Linked DNA regions of Rattus norvegicus. The protein of the gene in region 1 purifies or fractionates together with the protein of each later gene. This does not show direct contact. Links are inferred from orthologs where the notes say so. Each region holds a gene or a part of one and is shown on either strand. Other genes may lie near its edges.

Region 1 (4,311 bases):
AACAGACACGGAAAAAAAATAAATAAAGCACTGTGCTAGACTGCAGTAAGTACAATGATGGTCAGGTACGTCTAAGGGGAAGGAAGCAAGACACTGTCTGGGAAGAGATACTGAACAGAGGAAGTAGCAAGAACAAAGACTGCAAAGTGGGAAGATGCTTACTGTTAAGGAAAGCCTGCCGGCCAGCGTGGTTAGAGCAGAAGGGAGAGGGAGAGTGGTGGGTGAAGTTAGAGGTCTGGGTGAGGGGCTGGGGCTTCTGACAACTGAGTATTGCTTTCCTAGGCAGCAATGGTGGCCACAGGTGGAGAACAGGGAGGGAGGAGATCCCAGGTAATTAGAACACACCACACAGAAGAAAGGCTGTGGGACACAGAGGCTGGCTTAGCCCACAAGGAGTCCACATAATAAAGTGAGCTTGATTGTGAAAGGTAGGAGGTGAGGGTGGGCTGGGAAGCATTTAGCCTCTGACTTGTCTGTTGTGTTGTAGAAGTGTGAGCAGCAGGACGGGGAAGCACAGGTAAGAAGTGGGCAGTCGGGGCTGGGGATTTAGCTCAGTGGTAGAGCGCTTACCTAGGAAGCGCAAGGCCCTGGGTTCAGTCCCCAGCTCCGGGGGAAAAAAAAAAAAAAAGAAGCGGGCAGTCAGCTGTCCTTTTAACGTAAACATTGCTTTCCTAGGGAAGGATTCCTACTTCCAGGGAGCTGCTCTGGTTGTTACTCTGTGAAGAAAACCGTGGAGGTCTTGGCAACATCCTTGTGGGGGAAATATTCCCTTTAAATTTTCCTTAGTAGGGGGAAAAGGGGTAGGGTGGAACAAGAACTAGAATTTAGAGTATTGTATAATTACCATGAACGGAACTGAACTGGTCTAACTTACAGTGAATCATAAGACAAAGATGATTTAAAATGGGACCAAGAAGGCAAACAGGAGTTTCTTTTTTTAAAGAGCAAGCATTTCCTAAAATGGGTGATGAGCAAATAAACAAGTTTGTGCTAACGACCACTAATTTTATATTAGGAAGGGGATTCCCTTATAACTGAGTACTTTGCATCAAAGGCACTCAAGGCCAGAGTAAGGACCTTGCTCACTGTTGCACAGCTCTGTTTCTAGAACAGTGTCTGGTTGGGCCCAAGTGCCTGATCTTATGAGGTAAAAAGCCTACCCAGAGCCCTCCCCTCAGAATCAAACACCCCAAGGGACTACTACTAGCAAAAACTCACTCAAAAACAAGCAGAGAAAAGAGATGTTTTTCCTTGCATAGCACCTGTGCAAATCAACATACTTCAGTGGAATCAAGCGATTACTCATGAGACACTTAGGGCTCGATGCAGACTGCTGTTTGGAACGTACTGATACATAGGTCAAAATATCAAGCTGCTGCAAGAGGGAAATACGCTTTTTTCTTAATACCCATAAGGAACTGCACTAACTCTGCCCCTTTGGAACAAAGAACAAAAGCCACAAGGGAATATTGAACAGTGTCTTCCTCTGAACCCTTCAAAAACTTAGCCGATTTAAGAAATTGGTTTGCTTTGCTATGGCATTTTTTTAAATTGTTGTTTTTTTTGTTGTTGTTGTTGTGTAATGGCAGATTACATATTTATTATTTGTCTTAATATAAGAGACCAGTAAAAAGGATAGCAGCAATTATCCACTCATGATTATGGAATACTATAAATCCCAAAGAAAGGAATTTACTGGAGTCGGAAAACCCCATTAAGTCATACTCATTATTATCTTTTTTTTTTTTTTTCTTCGGAGCTGGGGACCGAACCCAGGGCCTTGCGTTTGCTAGGCAAGCGCTCTACCACTGAGCTAAATTCCCAACCCCTATACTCATTATTATCAACCAGATACAAATGCTTAAACTTCTGCCAGGTGAAAAACATCTTTCTTTGAATTTGTTTAAACTTAATTACACTTTGTTTATTTACTGGGGTTTTTTTTTTTGGGGGGAGGGGGGTGGAGGTCAGGCGACAACTTGCTTCCACCACCGGGAGAATCCGGGGACCGTTCTAGGGACCTAAGGCTTGGCTCTAAGGGCCTTTATATCCAGAGCCAGCTCACCGGGTCCTCAAAGACATCTTCCTACAGGCCGTCATGTTTACACACAAATCCTTTTACTCCAGAACCAGATTACTTAGAGTTACAATTTAGAGCTCGGTTCCACAGAGATTTTTAAAGTCAAGTTCACCCATAACAATAATTTAGAGTGCAAATGCCTAGATTTACAATATTCTTTCCTATCTACAGCCTTCCGCGGAGCATTTTTTTTTTTCTCCACGTTAACACCAGAACATCCTTCAGAGTAACTTCAATACCATAAGTACGCCTTAAAACCACAAAAAAGCTCAGCGGTGGTTTGGAAGGTGCGGTTAAGTCTGCCGGTCGGTAGCGTTAGAATCGATGGGGAACCCAGGGTGCTCGGAACGCAGCCGCGGGGTCCGGGCCACTTCCTGGCCGGACTCTGTGGTCCGGCGCATCCCGGGGACGCCCCAAGCTTGCAGGCCGGGCCTCACCTTGTACACGTCCCCGTAGGTGCCGCTGCCGACCCTCTGCACCAGTTCGTAGTCGTGCTGCGGGTTCCGTCTCAGGATGTCGGCGGCAGGCCTCAGAGGGGCCTCCATCTTCGCTGCGCCCAGCCCGGGGCTCTGCCTGTGGCACCCGTATCCCGCTAACGAGGGTGCGCGGCGCTTCCCAACATGGAGCCTCAGCCCGCAGCTGCGCCTGCACCGGCGAGAGCGAGCGCGGGGGCGTCACGGGGCGCGACCCCGGCAGCCTCCGGGCCTCCTTGGCCCCGCCAGGCCCCGCGCGGGCCGTACCGAAGAGGCTGTTCCTTCCTTGTTGAGCGCCGGGTCGGAGACCCGCGTCTTCTCCGAGACGGCCGTGCGCACAGTCGCTGCTGCCGCCGCACCACGTTCCCCACCCGCGGCTGCGTCACCGGGAGACACGTTCGCGGCCGGCGCGGATCGAGCCCGGCCCGCCCGAGAGCGCAGGCCGCGGGCCCAGAGTGCCGCCCTGAGGCCCGCCGAGTGCACGACACCCTCGCCGCCGCCGGCCCCGCCTCCTAGCTGCTTGCGGGGCGCCCAAGGCATTCGTGCGGCGTCTGACCCGCCCAGGCACGGCCAGGATTCGTCCAGTTGCCGGCAGGACTAGAGGAGGAGGGCCTGTGCGCAGGCCTCGGAAGCGGTGCCTCCTACTTCCATTCAGTCAAGGTAAACTGAGTCCGTCCGGGCAGGAGGTGGGGGAGTGCCGGGTTAACTAAACGCCGGCACACCCGACTGCACCGTCCTGTTCCACACACTGTTCCCGGTGGTACCAGTTCTGAGGCTGGACCGGGGTTTCCCGAGACATTTTTGAAAACCCCAATTCCTACGAAGTTCCTGTGGTTTCTGGGCATCGCCACAATATTGCATCTTTAATGGGACTAGGAGTTCTGGAGATGCTAAAGCCAAGCTAGGGACCTTTGCCTGAGTCTGGTTCCAAAGTAGGTGATCTGGGACAAAGCGTCCTTGGCAACATCTGAGTGTCCTTATCAGTCCCTGGAAGAGGGTAGGTTTTGCATTTGACACCCGAGATGTTTGTAAACCATTTTATAGCATTGTAAAGAGGATTATAAACTGTAAGATGCCTAACCATGCCCAGAATATTGGGCAGGAGTTGTGAGAAGTGATTTGGTTAATGTTTTGGTCTGTTTTGTGATTTGAGTCCCAATCTTGTTCTTAACGTAGAAATGAAGTCACCAATTTTATGTATATAGGTAAAGTTATTTCTAGAGTCCTGCAGAGATTTTCAGTAGAAAAACTAGATAAGGACTGGAAAGATGGCTCAGTGGTTAACAACACTGGCTGTTCCTCAGAGGACCTGGGTTGATTGCCAACACCTGCATGGCAGCTCACTTCTGTTAACTCTAAGCAGGGGTCCAGAGTGGGCTGGAGGAGGTCTAGCACTCTCTTCTAGCCTGTGTAGGCACCAGGTATGCATATGGTGTACAGACATACATGCAGCCAAAACACAAAGTTAAATAAAAATTTAGGAGAAATTGAAAAAATAGATAAAATTACAACAGAACAAATTTCAGGTGACACGTGACTCCAGACACAATCTAATTCTGTTTTGAGAAATATACTTCTTATAGCTAATAACTAAAGAATCCAAGTAACACCTTAACAGAATAGAGAATATATGCATTTTCTTGTGTTCCACACACAAAGAGCACTTATTTAGGGAACATAAGTAAGCCCAGACTTACATGCTCCAGGGACAAAGCCTGTGTGTGTGCTGCATTGAAAAAAAAAGGTTGAAGAACAGTT
Region 2 (4,393 bases), on another chromosome or scaffold:
AGTTAGGATTATAATCAACATGAGTGTTTCTAATATATTTTGTGAATTATGTGTTTGTATAGATAGTCACAGTTTCCCCTCAATTTCTTTACCATACAACATAAGATCAATTAGGAGAATATCAGGGGGTTGGGGATTTAGCTCAGTGGTAGAGCGCTTGCCTAGGAAGCACAAGGCCCTGGGTTCGGTCCCCAGCTCCGAAAAAAAGAACCAAAAAAAAAAAAAAAAAAGGAGAATATCAGTAATTATTACATTTAAGTTGAGATACTAAAAGAGTATCCCTCAAGGTACACTGCCATCTGTTCTAAAATTTAAAATGTACAATTTGCAGCTATACAAGGGACAGTTATATCAAATTTGGAATAATTATGACTTGGTTATTTCTTTCATTTGGAAATTAAGCAAGACAGAAAAGATAGGAATGCATGTCAAGTAGAGCTAAGGAAAAACTCAGGAAATTACATTTGGTACCTGAGAGACACATGAAGTAGAGTAAGATCTGTAAATAGCAGGAAGCCACTGCAGTATTCATTCCCCTCTTTGAGGTGACTCTAATAACTTAGACTTTCTCCAATACCTGTCACATGCTGCAAGCATGTTTTAATAAAGGCCCGAAGTCAATAATATAATCCACTTCCACAAATAAGAGAGTAATTTACTTAGCTGTATCACCCAACATTATCCTTCCTAGGTTTCTCCAAGCTCTTACACCTTCCAGCATCGCCTAGGAACTTCATGTTTCACAGAACTTGAGTGTCCTCCTCTTGCTAGCATTACTCTTTACAATCACCTTTCTGTGTTCACATTTTTAAAACGTACTTGTGTGAGGATACTCGCTTGCCATGATGCGCATACCGGGCTAAGGGACAGCTCTGTGACTCAGCTCTCTCCTTCCACGCTTGCGTGGGTCTGGGGACCACACTTTCCCTCCTCATCACCACTTAGCCCTTCTCCACACTCTAAAATCCAGAGTTTGGCCGTTAACCGTACATACATTCACTGTACCATCCCAGCTTATTCTTCTATCCTCAAGAAGAAACTCTGGATTTAAGTAGGTGCCTTTAATTAATTATACTATCTTTTCAATTTCAAAGTCCTGAGCAAATTTCACCTCTATGAAGTCACCTCACCTTAAATCTAAATCAGTCCTCAATTCTTTCTTAGAATAGCTTAGAAATAAACGGGGCAGTAAAATATCTTTTAAAGTGTCTAGATATGTTTTCAATTAACACTTGTATCATTTGATGATATTATTAGGAAAATTAAAGCAAATTATAAAATAATGCATTTTAATTGAAAAAGAGAACACTTGGGGATCAGTGTCTTTTTCTTTAAGGCAGGGTCTTGCTACAGCTCAGTTTGGCTTGGAATCAAGGTCCTCTTTCCTTAGAGGATTAGGGGCGTGTATCTCTCCCGTCTAGCGCTACTTGGGTGTCTTTAAAGTATATGTTAAACAACTAGACTTAATTACAAAAAAACCCCAAAAAAACAGAATTAATGTAGAATGAAGGTAAATACACTTTGCACCCTGCGGAAGGAACAGTGATGATACAAATTCCCTCAAATAAAACCTCAATCTCTTTCCTTGGTAATTCCAGTTTTTTGGTTTTTTGTTTTTTTAAGTGCTACAGCATCAGATTCTGAGATTTCTACCCTTTCGATCTATTTTAAGGATTATTCCAAAGGCTGAAGGCCAGTTAGCTGACAGATGCAGGAGCTACAAAAACCTTAAATGGTGTACATGAATTTCGAGAAAGTAGTAGTCATGGCTATCTTCAGAAACTCAAGATAGTCTATATATTTTAACGTCGTTAATAAGAATTTTGCACTAGTATTACAGTCAACTAAAGTGACAAAACTATGTATGTGTGGGCTTGGGGGTGGTGGTGATTTAAACAATGCAAGCACTACTAAATGTCTAAATAAAATGCATCCTTTCATCCAACCCAGATCCTGACATTGGCCTTCCAATCCGAATGTCTTCTGGTTCAGAATGAGAAAAGGGAGTATCCCTTACCCCCACCCCCAAATTTCAATCTTTGACCGACCCTCCGCAGGTCAGGTTCCGAGCCCGAAAAGGGCAGGAGCTCGCCTACCTGGGCGCTGGTTCGATTAAGGTGGTAGTATCCAGGTAGTGGATCTTGTAGAACTCCAGCAAGGCCGGCAAATGGTCAAACTCCTGGTCCCCGATCTTAAAGCGGCGGTTGGGCAGGGAGTTGATGATGTAGTGCGAGACACGCGAGTTCTCGGACACGGACAGTACATAGTCCCCAGGGCAGGTAGATGAGTCCCGGACTAGGAACATGCCATGGCGCTGGCCCTGGAGACGGGTCTGCGCCTCCTGGCGAGACACTGGCCCCATGTACCAGGCAGAACGGTCTGAAGAATCAAACCTGGCGGAGGACATGGTGTTGGGCCCGGGGATGGGCGGCGTCTGCTGCTCTCGCTTGCTCTGGAAGCCTTTACCCGCTGTCGGCTTTGGGGTCGAGGAAGGGCCTCTTCTCGAACACTTCGAGGAACAATCAGAGGGCTTGGTCAGGACGTTCCTCTAGGCTCCGGGCCCCGCAGCATCCTCCGCCACCGCCCTCCTGCACAGGGCCGCCTCTCGGAGAGAGCCGGTCCGGGAACAGTGGGCAAAACCCCTGGGTCGAGGTGGGCGAAACAGAGCAGTAGCAGAGGCCGCCTCGGGCTTCTCAGCTGTCCGGAGTAGGATCCAGCGACTTCTGTCCTGGAAGCCGCCGGCTCCGCAGCCTCAAGAGCCCGCACGGTTCCTCGCCGTCACACGAAGCACCGCACTCCAACAACAGTCGCGCCTCCCGGACCGTCCTACCCTACCCGTTCCCAATAGCCACAGCAACAAAATGGCGGACGCGGGAGAAGCGACCGGGCACCTCCCCCTTGGTCCAGCGTACTCTATCTGCGCTTGCGCGGAGCTGGGCGCTACCCCCACCGCAGGGGCTCTTCCTTTGACGTCACTGGGCGCGGCCAATCAGGAGTGCGTTCGCGAGGGTTCCAGCCTAAGCCACTCGTGCGGGCTCCCGCGTTCCGGGAGGAGGCAGAGGGTCAAGCCCTTCCTGGATCGCAAAGCAGCCTCTGAGTGGCTGCTGCTGTAAGGCCTACCGGGCTTAGCAGGAAAACAACTGGACCCGAGAGGGAACAGCGTTTTGAAAACCTGTTTCTGGGAACAAAGCATAGCGTGATGGCTGGATGTCTGGACAGGGAGGCGTGGCCCTCAGGTGATTTTTAAGCCTGAAGGCCCTGATAAGTCAGGTGGCTTAGGAAGGGCATGACCTAGGCAGTGAGTTGACCATCAAATAGGTTACTGAATAACGCCTACCCTAAGTGATCCTACTTGGTACACGTGGAATGATGGTGAAGGTCAGTTTGACTAATGCTTTAAGACGAGGACAGTGTGATGATGGTGACTTGGCCACTTCAGGCTCTGAGATGTAGCAAGAGAAATGCAACACTTGTATCTGGCTTGCAGGTTTTGCCTGCTCCAGACCTTTGGTCTCTCTCCAAAAGTTCATTTCCTGCCATTCAGCCGTTCCAGCTGTGCCTTCCCAACATGTTTTCTCTCTCCAACAACACTAGGACCGATCTCTCTATCTATCTATCTTTCTTTCTTTCTTTCTTTCTTTCTTTCTTTCTTTATTTATTTATTTATTTATTTATCTATCAACCAATCAAGATAGGAATTCTCTGTGTGCCCCTGGCTATCCAGGAACTAACTATAAACCAGGCTGGCTTCAAATTCACATCTACTGGGCTCTGCCTTCCCTGTGCTTGAATTAAAGATGTGAGCCACCACTAACAGGACAGGATGAAATTTTATTACAACAGGAATACTGTCTTATTTTGCCCGCCTTAAAACCACATCTAGTCTTGAATGATCAGAAAATTGTTAAACGAATGACCATTGTGAAAAATCTACAAAAAACTGATGCTGGATTATTGGTCACAGCATTCCCAAATTAGATGAACAGGAAGGCATGTCCCAGACCAGTGATGGTGGCACTACCAGTAATCCCAACACTGGGGAGATGGCAGTAGGAGGACCATGAGTTCAAGGCCAGCTGAGCTATATGAGACCCAACTAAAATGGGGAGGAAGTTAGGGGAGAAGGAGGTCTCAGGGCTGAGGCAGACAGGAGAATTGCTACTTAGGTCCCTGTCACTAAAGTCTCATTCTGGCTGTTAGCATTTCCCATGCTTAGCAAACCCTAGCTGTAGGGTAATCATCGGTGGTTCCATCACAGTGGTAAGTAAGCAAAGGAAAAATGTCAAAGTCTAGTGTCTTTTTGTACCTCAGCAAAACCGTGGTTTTGCTTTTCCCAGAGATGCTTCATGGAGGCCAGGAAGATGTCTCTTGCCGGCCAAGCCTAAGCACCTGA

What was found.
Region 2: the proteins of Map4k5 (region 1) and Crkl purify together in Homo sapiens (affinity purification with western blotting; 3 studies listed by BioGRID and IntAct, with this or other methods). This does not show direct contact. The link is inferred for Rattus norvegicus from reciprocal best matches to the Homo sapiens genes MAP4K5 and CRKL.

What each region holds. Positions count from the first base shown.
Region 1 is NC_086024.1:94,110,075-94,114,385, forward strand, and holds the start of Map4k5 (mitogen-activated protein kinase kinase kinase kinase 5), read right to left. Parts: upstream 2,870-4,311; 5' UTR 2,626-2,869; coding exon 2,518-2,625; intron 1-2,517. UniProt on the Homo sapiens protein: May play a role in the response to environmental stress. Appears to act upstream of the JUN N-terminal pathway.
Region 2 is NC_086029.1:97,064,569-97,068,961, forward strand, and holds the start of Crkl (crk-like protein), read right to left. Parts: upstream 2,890-4,393; 5' UTR 2,408-2,889; coding exon 2,097-2,407; intron 1-2,096. UniProt on the Homo sapiens protein: May mediate the transduction of intracellular signals.